Arabidopsis thaliana: one gene and its partners. The main gene of each other region encodes a partner of the protein of the gene in region 2 in a complex. Each region holds a gene or a part of one and is shown on either strand. Other genes may lie near its edges.

Region 1 (3,996 bases), on a different chromosome or scaffold from region 2:
CTGAATCTCTAGCAGCCATGGCAAGAATGTCTGCGCATGAGACGGTCTCTGGACATACAGATTCAATATCAGACTTTATCGAATCAATCACTTCGAACCCTCGTAGAGAATTTAGATTAGGAGGCGCCGTTTTTTCACCAACCAGTCCTTCTGTGTCATCTAACAACACCGAAGCATCACATCCCTGCAATGCATAATGCAAGTCAAAAACAAAAACACATTCTGGTTCGTAGTACTCATTCCCTACTTAACCGGTACAATTTAGATTTGTCACGGTTTAACTAACATAATATAATCCTTCCCGGTTCAATGGTATATAAAAGACGGGGATTAGATGATAGACCAAAACTATTAAAACAAACTTAAGATGAGATGTGACTTGCATTGACAAAACAGTCGTGGAAATGAAGACGGAGAAGAGAAGCAGCCATTCTTGGATCCTCTAACACCGTGGTTTCCACCCACGAGTAGACGATAGACTCTGCTTCGGGGCAGCTATTCCGGTATAAACCAAAATCAAGAACCAAATCGAACCCTATGCCAAAGCTTGAACCGGTTTCTCCACTCCCGTCTTCGCAACTCTCGCTGAAATTGGTTGGATTCTCGGAGAGTGAAAGAATTGGCATTGCAAAGAAAAACATAAGGAACAAGTTAAAGAGATTCTTCATTGTCGTTATATGATCACTCCACTTTCTTCTGAGTTTTAACATTCAATGGAGTTGGTACTATATTAGAAAGCTAGTGTATGTGTGTCCATATTTATAGAAACAATTCAACTATATACACATACATAACACGTATATATGTATGTGTGACTGCATGACTGCATGTGCACTTCAACAACCCAATTACATATTATGTACTCGTCAAATTAATCATACGTACGTCAATAAATGTATGTATATATAAAAGAAGTAGATTGGCAAATATTCAAGTAAAATTGCAATGTTAGTATACCAAATGATTAACAAATTCTCATAATACAATTTATGATCAGCATGTATAATTGTGTGTTTTTTGTTGTTTTTTATGCATGAATTATTATTTGAGCAAAACAAAACGTTTTGGACTAAACTATATACGTGATAAGGGATAAGATTGCATAAGGTGGCTGGCTAATGGCTATTATTAGTAAGTTGTAATAAAAAGGAACAAAAGAGTAGTAATGATATTGTAATGAATGAAGAGGAAACACACAAATAAACCATGTTGTTACTATTGCTAGTGCTAGTGCAAGTGCTAGAGAGATGTGTCGGTATACACTATAGAGTCAGGAGTAGTTAAAAGACAGACCAATTCAGCAGTTGGAATCTGACAGAAGTTAGTAGTATATAATGTGCTTAATTTCTTTCATATTTTTAATAGAACAGAACTTATATAATGAATATCGAATAATTTTCACAATGATATAAAGGTGCATGGGGATATGCATGTGGTTGTTAATGTAAGAAAAAGTACACTAGTCTTCAATGAAGAAAGGGTCAAATTTATTTCGTATTGTCCTCTTCGTATTTCTTTATTTGTATTTTTTTCTACCCCACAAGTTAAATTCTGATATGGGCCGGCCCATGGGCTTTACGCATTTATTGTCTAAATGCCCGAGAAAGTTCATGAAATTACATCCGATTGCCACTACGCAGTCTTTAGTCTTTACTAGAGCTTGACCTCTTCTCTCTCATGTCCGAGTGAACAAATCCCGCCAAAGATACGAAGAGACTGATTGTGAAATCAAAGAAGCATTCAAAAGCTCGTTATCTAAAGATTCTGCGAAGATGAGTACTATGAAATTTTGTCGCGAATGGTAAATACGAATCTCTTCGTTTTTTTTATTTTGGGGGTCAAAACGAATCTGTTCTCTGCTCTTTTATACTAGTCTTCTGAAATTGAAATTTGGGTTTTCATTTCTTAGCTCATATTGAATTATATATTGTACCCAGTTCTCTTAAGTCTCTAATTGTCGGAATTTTAGTTTTGGATGGTTTGCTTATGTTTTCTATTGGATTAAAGCTCCAACTTTTCTCCACTTTTGCAGCTTATGAACCTTTGATTTTGTTTTTTTTTGAAATGTTCAGTAATAACATTCTATATCCCAAGGAAGACAAGGAGCAATCAATCCTCCTCTATGCGTGCCGTAATTGTGATCACCAGGTAAACTTTGTTTACTATGCTTTCTTTTATAAAATTAGGTTTCCTTAGTGTTAATGGAACAATGTGGTGTTGAAACAAAGCTAGGGCTGAAACCAATAGACTTTAGTTGTTCACTTGTATATGATTTGTGTTGATATTTATTTAAGCTCTGATGTTTTACTCTTTGTAATCGCTTATACGGTTAAAGGTCGAATGTCTGAACTTGAAGTAAACCAAGGAATGATAATTTAATGAGTTTAGATCATTTTCCTTGTCTCTCATATCATGAATCTGATTGGTTAAGATAGTAGTGCTTATCAGTATAAAGAGTTCTTTGAGAACTTCTGAACAAACGCAAGACCTTTTAAAAACCGTTTAGAGGGTTTCTGCAACTTAACTTCTAAAACCATTTGAGTTTCAACAATATCCATTGGTGTTACCGAATCTGAGTTTTTTTTTGTTTCTACTGTTTGTGTTATGTTTTGTTATTACAAAGCATTATGCCTTTGTTAGCTACTGAAAACCATTCTAGATGAATCTCTGTATGGGATCTTTAGCTTAATGCCCGGACTTGCTAACCGAATTAGTTATAAACTTACTGAGTTACTGTTAGCTATTTATCGTCCTGTTGATAGAAGGTCTTGAAATTTATATTCTTTTATTTGGCTTTGCAGGAAGCAGCAGATAACAATTGTGTTTACAGAAACGAGGTTCATCACTCTGTAAGTGAACAAACTCAGATCCTATCTGACGTTGCTTCCGACCCAACTCTTCCACGTACCAAGGCTGTGCGATGCGCCAAGTGTCAACACGGTGAAGCTGTCTTCTTCCAGGTGAATCATTATCTTATATCTTAATCTTTAATTCGTCATCAATCAAGGAGTAAAGAAACATTCTTTCGTTTTTCTCTGATCTAACTTAAAGATCAAAAGAGATTTCTTTCTCTTGCTTTTTAATGTGCTTATGGCTATTTCGGTTTGATATAGCTCGTGTGTGTCATCGAATTTTCAGGCCACGGCTAGAGGCGAAGAAGGAATGACTCTGTTTTTCGTTTGCTGCAACCCGAACTGTAGTCACCGTTGGAGAGAATAGATTGATAGAAGACTACATTTTTCAAATGTAACGTGTATTTGTGTTCCGCTTTATGAGTTTTATACAATTCAATTTGGAGTTTTCTGTGTAAAAATATGAATACTATGAGACTGTTCTCGGGTTTCTTGAATTGTTTCAGGGTCTTTTATGATCATTTTGGTTTTTATGTGGGTCTAATTATAAATTTGTCGTTTTATGCGGGGCCGATCTGAAAATTCGTCCATAAACCATGATAGTGTTGAAAATTTGTATACGTGGAGTCTAGCCGCCGGCTGCTATAACTTTGCTATAACGTGTGATATTATAAAAAGTTGATAAATCTAATCTTCTAAACCAAATTGTTTTAATAATGCTGTGTTTACTTCGTCATCGTATCGAATTATACGGCTGCTCTTGTTAAGTGATGACAATATCTTCAAATAAAGTTTTTTCTTTTGTAAGCAAATATGATAAAACTACGTTAGCTAATAGCCAACTTGGTCCATCATAGTTCATAAAGTCAAAAAATCAGTAACCAATTCATGAGTGGAATTATACTTGATTCAATGACACTGTTTAGGAGCTTATCTAAATTGCACAAGTTTTGTTACACGTAAAACACAAATATGCCAAATTAGACATGTTTCTCGTCATTCTAAAACATTAACAAATATTTACATAGACGCAGTCAAATAAATCAAATTTCGTATGATAAAAAAAAAACAAAAAAAATAGCAAGGTTGATTTGTCAATGCTGGCAAAAATAAGCAATGTCCTAATTTCTCAAGTTGGAAAGTG
Region 2 (4,152 bases):
CCAAGCAATGCTAGGTCCCTTGCAGTTTTTAGGGGAGATCGATTTTCGTATTTAGAGCAAAACTATGAGACAAGGAATATAGAGATTTGGGTAACAAAAAAAGAGATTAAAATTGAGAATGGAAAGGCTGTGGAGTGGATGAACTTGATGAAAGTGTCAGTTCCTAAATGGTCGAGTTTAAGAGTAATAAGCTATGATCCGCCAAGTTACTTCATCGACGATAAAACCCTCAGTCTCGCATTTGTGTTGTTTGAACAAGAAGGAAAAGGCTTGCATTTATATTGCCAAGGGAGATAAGTTCCATGAAATTATAATAAACGATTTGGTTGAGTATCCTACTCGTCATCACCGTACCTATGTTCCTAGTTTGGTCCCAGTTCCAACGTTCACGATGAGCAATAGAAGTAAAACGCAGCAGGTTGAGTCCCGCTTCACACCCCCTAGAGGAATACAAGCGAGCGATGGAGGAAACGAGTGGGACGACGGCATCTTCCACAATGTGAAGAAAATAAATGTAGGAGTAAATGATTTTGACACGGTCTTTGTCAAGTTTCACTACTCCAAATATAACCGGATTGAAGCCGGAGCAGGTCATGGAAATGCGACAACACATAATCCAGACGACGAAGTACGTGACGTGATGAGATTTCTTACTTCTTAATTTATTAGTTTCTAACTTATATATAGTTTTATCATACATATCATATGGATTTCTTGCATAGATTATGATCGCTGGAGGCGACTACATTGAAGCCGTCGAGGGGACCTACACTGAAAGCCATATCACCTCCATTACATTTCGGATGCGCAAGGGAGACATGATGCCACAGTACGGACGCTTGAACGGGACGCCCTTCTCGCTTCGAGGAGAACGAGGCTCCAAGGCCATCGGGTTTTACGGAAGAAGCTCTGGTGTCCACCTCACTGCTCTCGGCGTCCACTTCTCTCCACCCCCTCTATATTATTCGTTTCCTAACCATTCACCAGTTTTTAATTATTAATAATCATGCCAATAAAAAGTAATAATTCTTTTTTGGATATGAATATGATCGTTTTTCTTGAACATGCACGATTGAGTAAAATGGGAATATTACTGGCCGTGTTTTTTATTGGGTTCGCAAAAGCCTAATAAAAAAAGTTGGACTTATGAGTAAAATGGGAAATAGGGTTTTCCAATCCTTCTTTCTGAAACCCTAAACCGACAAGGCAAGCAAACAACAACGCTGCTATACAAATCCATCTATAAACTCTTTTTTTTCTTTTCGACCGTGTCCATTAAAAATATATGATGCAACCAGAGAACCAGCCGTGGGAATTGGAGGAAGAGATACTTTCTCACCTTCCAACAATTTTTCTCGCTCGATTGAAATCAGTTTGCAAACCAACTAGTGTTTAACTATTGCTCATACTCAGCAAACCATGCACCTACTCCAATATTTCAAACTTCTGATCTCTCCTTTAATGCAACATATGTAATAAACAACAAAATATACATGGAATGTCTCGGAAAAACACAAATCTATAGGGTATTTTCTGTAATAAGTAAAAATATAAGGAAAATATGTAAATAAACCAAACTACAAGGAATATATGTAATAATATGAAAAAGTAAAAAACAAAAAATCCTTTCTCTCTCGCTTCTCTTCTTCTCTGCCCCTCCTTAACACTCTTCTCGCCGCCGTTCCTCTCTCTGCCTCTTGAGCCTCCGGAGCTGGTGAAAAAAATCGTCTTTTCTATCTCCTTTGAAGGTAATTCAGCTTTTCGATTTCTCCAGATGCTCATATAGTTGTTTTATGCCAGTCGAATCGGATTATTTTCATGAAATTAAGAGTGTTTAGGGTTTGAATCTCCGTGTTTGTAGATGGCGAGCAATATTATCATGTTCGAGGATATCTTCGTGGTCGATAAGCTAGACCCTGATGGCAAAAAGTTCGATAAAGGTATCTACTTTTTTTTTTAACCTCAGTCACGATTTGTAATGCTTGTCATGGCTTAAATCGAGTTTCTGATATGAATCCTAGTTTCTTGTGTTTGTTTTAAGTTTTAGATAAATTGGAATCCAAGTTAGTGTGAAAAAGATCTCAACTTTTAAAATTTTAAGCCTCCTAAAGTTTGTTTGTTCTGACTTCAAATTGATTGCGTCTCTGTGTGTTTGTGGTAACACAGTTACGCGTGTTGAAGCAAGGAGCCACAACTTGGAAATGTTTATGCATTTAGATGTTAACACTGAGGTTTATCCATTGGCTGTTGGTGATAAGTTCACGCTGGCTATGGCTCCCACGCTTAATCTCGATGGAACTCCTGATACCGGATACTTTACTCCGGTACTGCATGCTTTTTCTATGTTAGATTTTTGGTGTATATTGCATACTCTTTTTTACTTGCTTGGATAAATCTCATGAATGGTTACAGTAAGTTAGGCCAGTTAACTTTTCTTAAGGTTTTGGTTGGGGCATACCATTAAGTGCTAATTGCTCGATATGACTAATTCCACTGGCTTGATTCAGGAGATAGGAATAAGACTAATCATATGAAAACTTGAGCAATACTTAGTCTCTTGAATATTGAATTAAAACCTATCTTTGAAAACCAAGACTGTTTTCTTTGATAATTTGAACATTCATTTAGTTTCCATGTCGCTCTATTACAAGAACATGTATTAGGATTTGATCTAATTGCTTAATAGAACAATTGCTTTGGCTTGATTCAGGAAGCCTATCTAGGAATAAGAGTAAACATGTGGAATTTGAGCAAGACTTAGTGTCTTGACTCTTGAATCATGAAACCAAGATTGTTGTTAGCTAATCTAATCTAGTTTCCATCTCGCTTTGTTACAGGGAGCAAAGAAAACACTTGCAGATAAGTATGAATACATCATGCACGGGAAGCTTTACAAGATCTCTGAGCGTGACGGCAAAACTCCAAAAGCGTAAGAATCCCATATACCTAGACCAACAAAATCATTTTTTCCCAAAGAGATCCAATTTAACTTACAGATCTAACCATCATGCTTCGGTTTCTATCTTGCAATTATGTGTTTGCAGAGAGTTATATGTTTCGTTCGGGGGGCTCCTGATGTTGCTTCAGGGAGATCCAGCTCATATTTCTCACTTCGAACTTGACCAGAGGCTCTTTCTACTCATGAGGAAGCTTTGAGATGCCATTGTCTAATCACTTTCCGAGAATATTCGCATAAAAACCGAATTAACAGAGAGCTTTCTTATAAAAGCTTTATCTTATGTTAAACTTTGCTATTATAAATACTATTTTCATGAAGCAACTCTTGTACATCCAATATTTAACTGTCCAATTGAATTATGCTTGTAGCTCAGAGCTGTTGATGAATGATGATAACCACTTGAGGCCAATAAGTTATAAAACAAACAGAGACAAAAAAATTGTTTCTTTTCTAACAACACTCTCACATGTGTTTAGTAATATTCTCTCTTTGAACAATAACACTAAGCCAATAAAACAAAAAAGTCAGTTTCTGGCGTAGCAGGAATTTTTCTTTGTGATAGTGAAGTTTTTGGAGTTGTTGTTACTCATGCTTGTATCCAGACGCCTTCCCACTTCTCCCAACTGTATGAGGCTCATGCGTATTATCGCTGTTTACCTCCAAACCATGATAAGCATGGCTGAGGAAATACTCGGATCCTGATTTTGCAGCTGTTTGATTTAGTGAGTGAGTTATGATTATTGCCTCTCAACTGCAATGCTTTCTCTGCAGCTTATACTAATGCCATTGGCTCTCATGTGTCCGTCTTCTTCTCCATTCTTTGCTTGATCTGCATCAAGTAGATTGTCAAACTCATGGAATCAAAAATGGCTTTGGTTGACTTAACAATGTATCAAGCTTTCTATGATACCGTTTGTTTTGTGATCTTCTAGGTAACCACCCTGAAAGAAGAAGATCCGTGGCTCCTCTGATCCGCTATATATGTGCTTCTGAAAAGTGGTTAGCAATTTGTGAATTGTGATCACTTGCGGCATTTAGGTTCATATTGGGTGTACGATTTTGGATTATAAAGAAAATCATCAAAACGTTCGTAGAACACAATTCACAAATTTATTGATTTAAACTAGAACGATACACGTAACTGATTCTTCTTTTTGCATGTCCAAAATTATCATCAAGACCGGACTAATCAT
Region 3 (3,652 bases), on a different chromosome or scaffold from region 2:
TCACAGCATGCTGGGGACTGGTATCCAGCTGACCTTAAAGCCAACGATTTCAAAGGTCTCTATGGATATAAGGTACACAATAAACCGATTAAGTAGGAAGAATTTAATGTTAGTAGATGAATTTCATAGGTACTCTCATTGTGGTGGTTACTGATTCTCTTTCATATAATTACTGTACTTATAGGTATTTATCGCCATTTCTATCATCCTTGGTGACGGTCTCTACAACCTCATTAAGATCATTGTTGTCACTGTGAAGGAAATCTGCAACAAAAGCTCCAGACAACACAACCTACCTGTCTTTACCGACATTTTAGGTGCGAATATATATGATCCTGATTCACAATCGCGTTTGTTAGTAATAGTCATAGTTATTAATAAAGGTGTCTCTCATGACCATACTGACAACGTCTGTCTCAAATATTTTCTTAAGAGTTTCTTTCTCCATTCTTAATTCAGATAAAAGTAAGACCTCAGTATTAATGCGGGAGAAGAAGAAAAGAGATATCATATTTCTCAAGGACCGTATACCCCTCGAGTTTGCGGTTTCTGGTTATGTGGGTCTTGCAGCTATTTCAACCGCTATAATCCCGTTGATATTCCCACCATTGAAATGGTACTTTGTCCTCTGTTCATACTTAGTTGCCCCGGGTCTTGCTTTTTGCAATTCTTATGGAGCCGGGCTCACAGATATGAGCATGCCTTCAACCTACGGAAAGACTGGTCTTTTCATCGTTGCTTCAATTGTAGGAAATAATGGTGGAGTCATTGCCGGTTTAGCAGCATGTGGCATTATGATGTCAATCGTCTCAACTGCAGCGGATCTCATGCAGGATTTTAAAACAGGTTACCTCACACTATCATCTGCAAAATCCATGTTTGTAACTCAGCTTTTGGGTACAGCAATGGGTTGCATAATCGCTCCTCTCACGTTCTGGCTGTTTTGGACTGCTTTTGATATTGGAGATCCTGATGGTCTATACAAAGCACCTTACGCGGTCATCTACCGCGAAATGGCTATTCTCGGGGTCGAAGGCTTTGCCAAACTGCCCAAACACTGTTTGGCACTTTGTTGTGGATTCTTCATCGCTGCTCTGATTGTAAATCTAATTAGAGACATGACACCACCAAAGATCTCTAAGTTGATACCACTTCCAATGGCAATGGCTGGTCCATTCTACATAGGAGCTTACTTCGCCATCGACATGTTCGTAGGAACCGTGATAATGCTCGTATGGGAACGGATGAATAAGAAAGACGCAGATGATTACTCGGGTGCAGTAGCTTCAGGTCTGATCTGCGGAGATGGAATTTGGACCATCCCATCCGCAATTCTTTCTATATTAAGAATCAATCCACCCATTTGTATGTACTTTAGACCATCCTAGACATTGTTATCATGTTAAAAATTTGTTGCATTATGGCAGATAATAGAGTTTTTATATCTCACTCTAGAACACAAAGTGCCAATAGCAACAAGTATGTGGCATAAAGTCAAACAGACAAGGTTGACCAACGAAACTTTATTTGGGCTTATTCTGTAAGCCCATAGACTTTTGTTAAGAAGCCCATACGAATCTCTTTCCTCGTCTTTTCGACCGAAATTATTAAAACCTCTAATTCCTCCTCAAAAACCCTAAAATCCCAATTGAGAAAATTTAGACGCTCAAGGTTTTGTTTACATCTTGTCCGGTGGCTTGAAACAAATTCAACTTCTGCGTACTGTTTCTTTGTTGAATCATGGATCCAGCGCCCGAACCCGTTACTTACGTCTGCGGAGGTAAGCTCGACTTGAAAACTTCATCGAACATCTAATTTTGCTTTGAAATCAAAGTTTTGTTAGTATCTGTAAAAGATTGTAGCTTTGTGAAAGTAAATGCTAAAGTTGCCTCTTTTGAGTAGCCATATGAATCCTAATCTATTAGGAAATTTCATAATCTGGCTTAGTTAGGAGGCATAAATCAATCTTGATCATCAATACTTTACTGTATTGTATTGATCTATTTGACTTGAGGTCTTTTTGAGGAGGAGCTTTGCTTCTGCTAAGTATCAAGCTTCTCCCAAGCAGCCTCAGACATATACACTTTTAAACCAAAATTCATAAGTAAAAAGGTTGTCTTCGTTTTATGGGTTTGCTTAATTTCTTATTTTCTGTATCATCAGATTGTGGTCAAGAGAACACTTTGAAGTCTGGGGATGTGATCCAATGCAGAGAGTGTGGGTACCGTATTCTCTACAAGAAGCGTACCCGTAGAGGTGACTTATTCTTAATCCTCCTTTTGTTTTGTAATGTTTTTAGCTTTCTTTGATTCCTCTTTTTTTGGATCTTGTTCCTAGTTTATAAAAGTGATGGCACCATTTTGAATGCGTCTCAACATATACATGATATCGGGATCCTTTTTTAAGTCTTGATCATAGTTTATGATACTGATGGAACGATTTTCAGTGTGTCTTATATAACGCAAATGTTCTAAGGATCCGGTTTCCGAATTTATCTTGAGATTGTTAATCTGTTGGTTTTCTTGTACAAAATGTAGATGTTGTAAACTTGTTTCCGGCTAATTTATTTGATGGTTTATTCTCTTGCAGTTGTTCAATACGAAGCTCGCTGAGAACTACTACTCCTGAAGGTGGTTCATAGTCTGTTAAGATGGGTTGAGACTTTTTGGCACTGTTTGTGATATATATATCGACATGGTGATTGCTACATTGCCAGTTCGATTTGATTTGGTCACAGTGTGACTGTGTAATGACTTTACCGTTTTGATAGATGTAATTCTTGGAATAACTAAGTTCACATTGCTATAATCCTTGATTGGCTATAATCTCTCGTTGTTTTGCTACCTTTGTTCTTTAGTGTACTCTGCATTTAGTTGATCAGATTCTGGTGGTGGAAAAGGTAGTGACTACCATATATCAATCTTGTTTGCTACATATTAAGTGTTCGGAAGAAATCGAAGAGAGACATGAAGAGAACCCACCACAATGTTACTCTCAAAATACCTTTTTAGTACCAAGCAGATGGATAAATTAGTGTGTTAATATCTGTCTAACGAAACCTTTGGTAAGTCCTATAGGCTATGGCTACAAATAGAAGAGTCAACACAAGAGAATAATCGCGGCAAATATGCTCTCTATTAGCTTTCATCAAATACAAACTATGAGTTTTCAATCTCATGATACATTTATCTCGAATACCAAATGCTATGAAATAATCTATACGTTACTAAATACTAGTACTCTCTTCGGGTGGTTACTTCACTATTTCATATCATTCATTACCGAATTTACAAGCCTTAATTGCCATTGCTATCGTCCTTGGTGACTGTATCTAAAACCTGGCTAAACTCATTGTTGTCGCTGATAAACTCTTCCAACAAAAGCTCCAAACAAAACCAACTGTAGCATTTTTTTTTTTTTTTTGTCAAAACCAACTGTAGCATTTATATAATAGTCTGGGTTATCAAAATCAAATACATTCTCAGAGTTTCTATCTGCTGACATAAGAAAGTACCAACACATATTATCAAACAATAAAAAGTACCGAAAAACATGTAAGGTATGGTTCCAAACTTAATCTTCAGGATCATAGGGTCTGTTGTCAAAATCCTCTCTGTCCTCAGCTATGTCAGGGCAATACCTGTCAGACAAA

The links.
Region 1: NRPB8B (region 2) and NRPB9B share a complex: the UniProt entries of both Arabidopsis thaliana proteins name them as parts of the RNA polymerase II.
Region 3: NRPB8B (region 2) and NRPB12 share a complex: the UniProt entries of both Arabidopsis thaliana proteins name them as parts of the RNA polymerase II.

Annotation. Positions count from the first base shown.
Region 1 is NC_003075.7:9,201,752-9,205,747, reverse strand, and holds NRPB9B (RNA polymerases M/15 Kd subunit), read left to right. Parts: upstream 1-1,932; 5' UTR 1,933-1,986; coding exon 1,987-2,148; intron 2,149-2,801; coding exon 2,802-2,960; intron 2,961-3,138; coding exon 3,139-3,219; 3' UTR 3,220-3,396; downstream 3,397-3,996. Other genes in the region: AT4G16270 (peroxidase superfamily protein), read right to left, coding at 1-184, 384-668. UniProt on the Arabidopsis thaliana protein: DNA-dependent RNA polymerase catalyzes the transcription of DNA into RNA using the four ribonucleoside triphosphates as substrates. Component of RNA polymerase II which synthesizes mRNA precursors and many functional non-coding RNAs.
Region 2 is NC_003074.8:22,014,768-22,018,919, forward strand, and holds NRPB8B (RNA polymerase Rpb8), read left to right. Parts: upstream 1-1,608; 5' UTR 1,609-1,748; intron 1,749-1,861; coding exon 1,862-1,940; intron 1,941-2,166; coding exon 2,167-2,324; intron 2,325-2,837; coding exon 2,838-2,929; intron 2,930-3,044; coding exon 3,045-3,156; 3' UTR 3,157-3,594; downstream 3,595-4,152. Other genes in the region: AT3G59590 (jacalin lectin family protein), read left to right, coding at 1-183, 263-628, 723-1,001. UniProt on the Arabidopsis thaliana protein: DNA-dependent RNA polymerase catalyzes the transcription of DNA into RNA using the four ribonucleoside triphosphates as substrates. Component of RNA polymerase II which synthesizes mRNA precursors and many functional non-coding RNAs.
Region 3 is NC_003076.8:16,422,310-16,425,961, forward strand, and holds NRPB12 (DNA directed RNA polymerase, 7 kDa subunit), read left to right. Parts: upstream 1-1,609; 5' UTR 1,610-1,740; coding exon 1,741-1,780; intron 1,781-1,936; exon of another isoform or gene 1,937-2,080; intron 2,081-2,163; coding exon 2,164-2,256; intron 2,257-2,589; coding exon 2,590-2,612; 3' UTR 2,613-3,015; downstream 3,016-3,652. Other genes in the region: YSL4 (YELLOW STRIPE like 4), read left to right, coding at 1-72, 185-317, 460-1,388; AT5G41020 (myb family transcription factor), read right to left, coding at 3,574-3,652. UniProt on the Arabidopsis thaliana protein: DNA-dependent RNA polymerase catalyzes the transcription of DNA into RNA using the four ribonucleoside triphosphates as substrates. Component of RNA polymerase II which synthesizes mRNA precursors and many functional non-coding RNAs.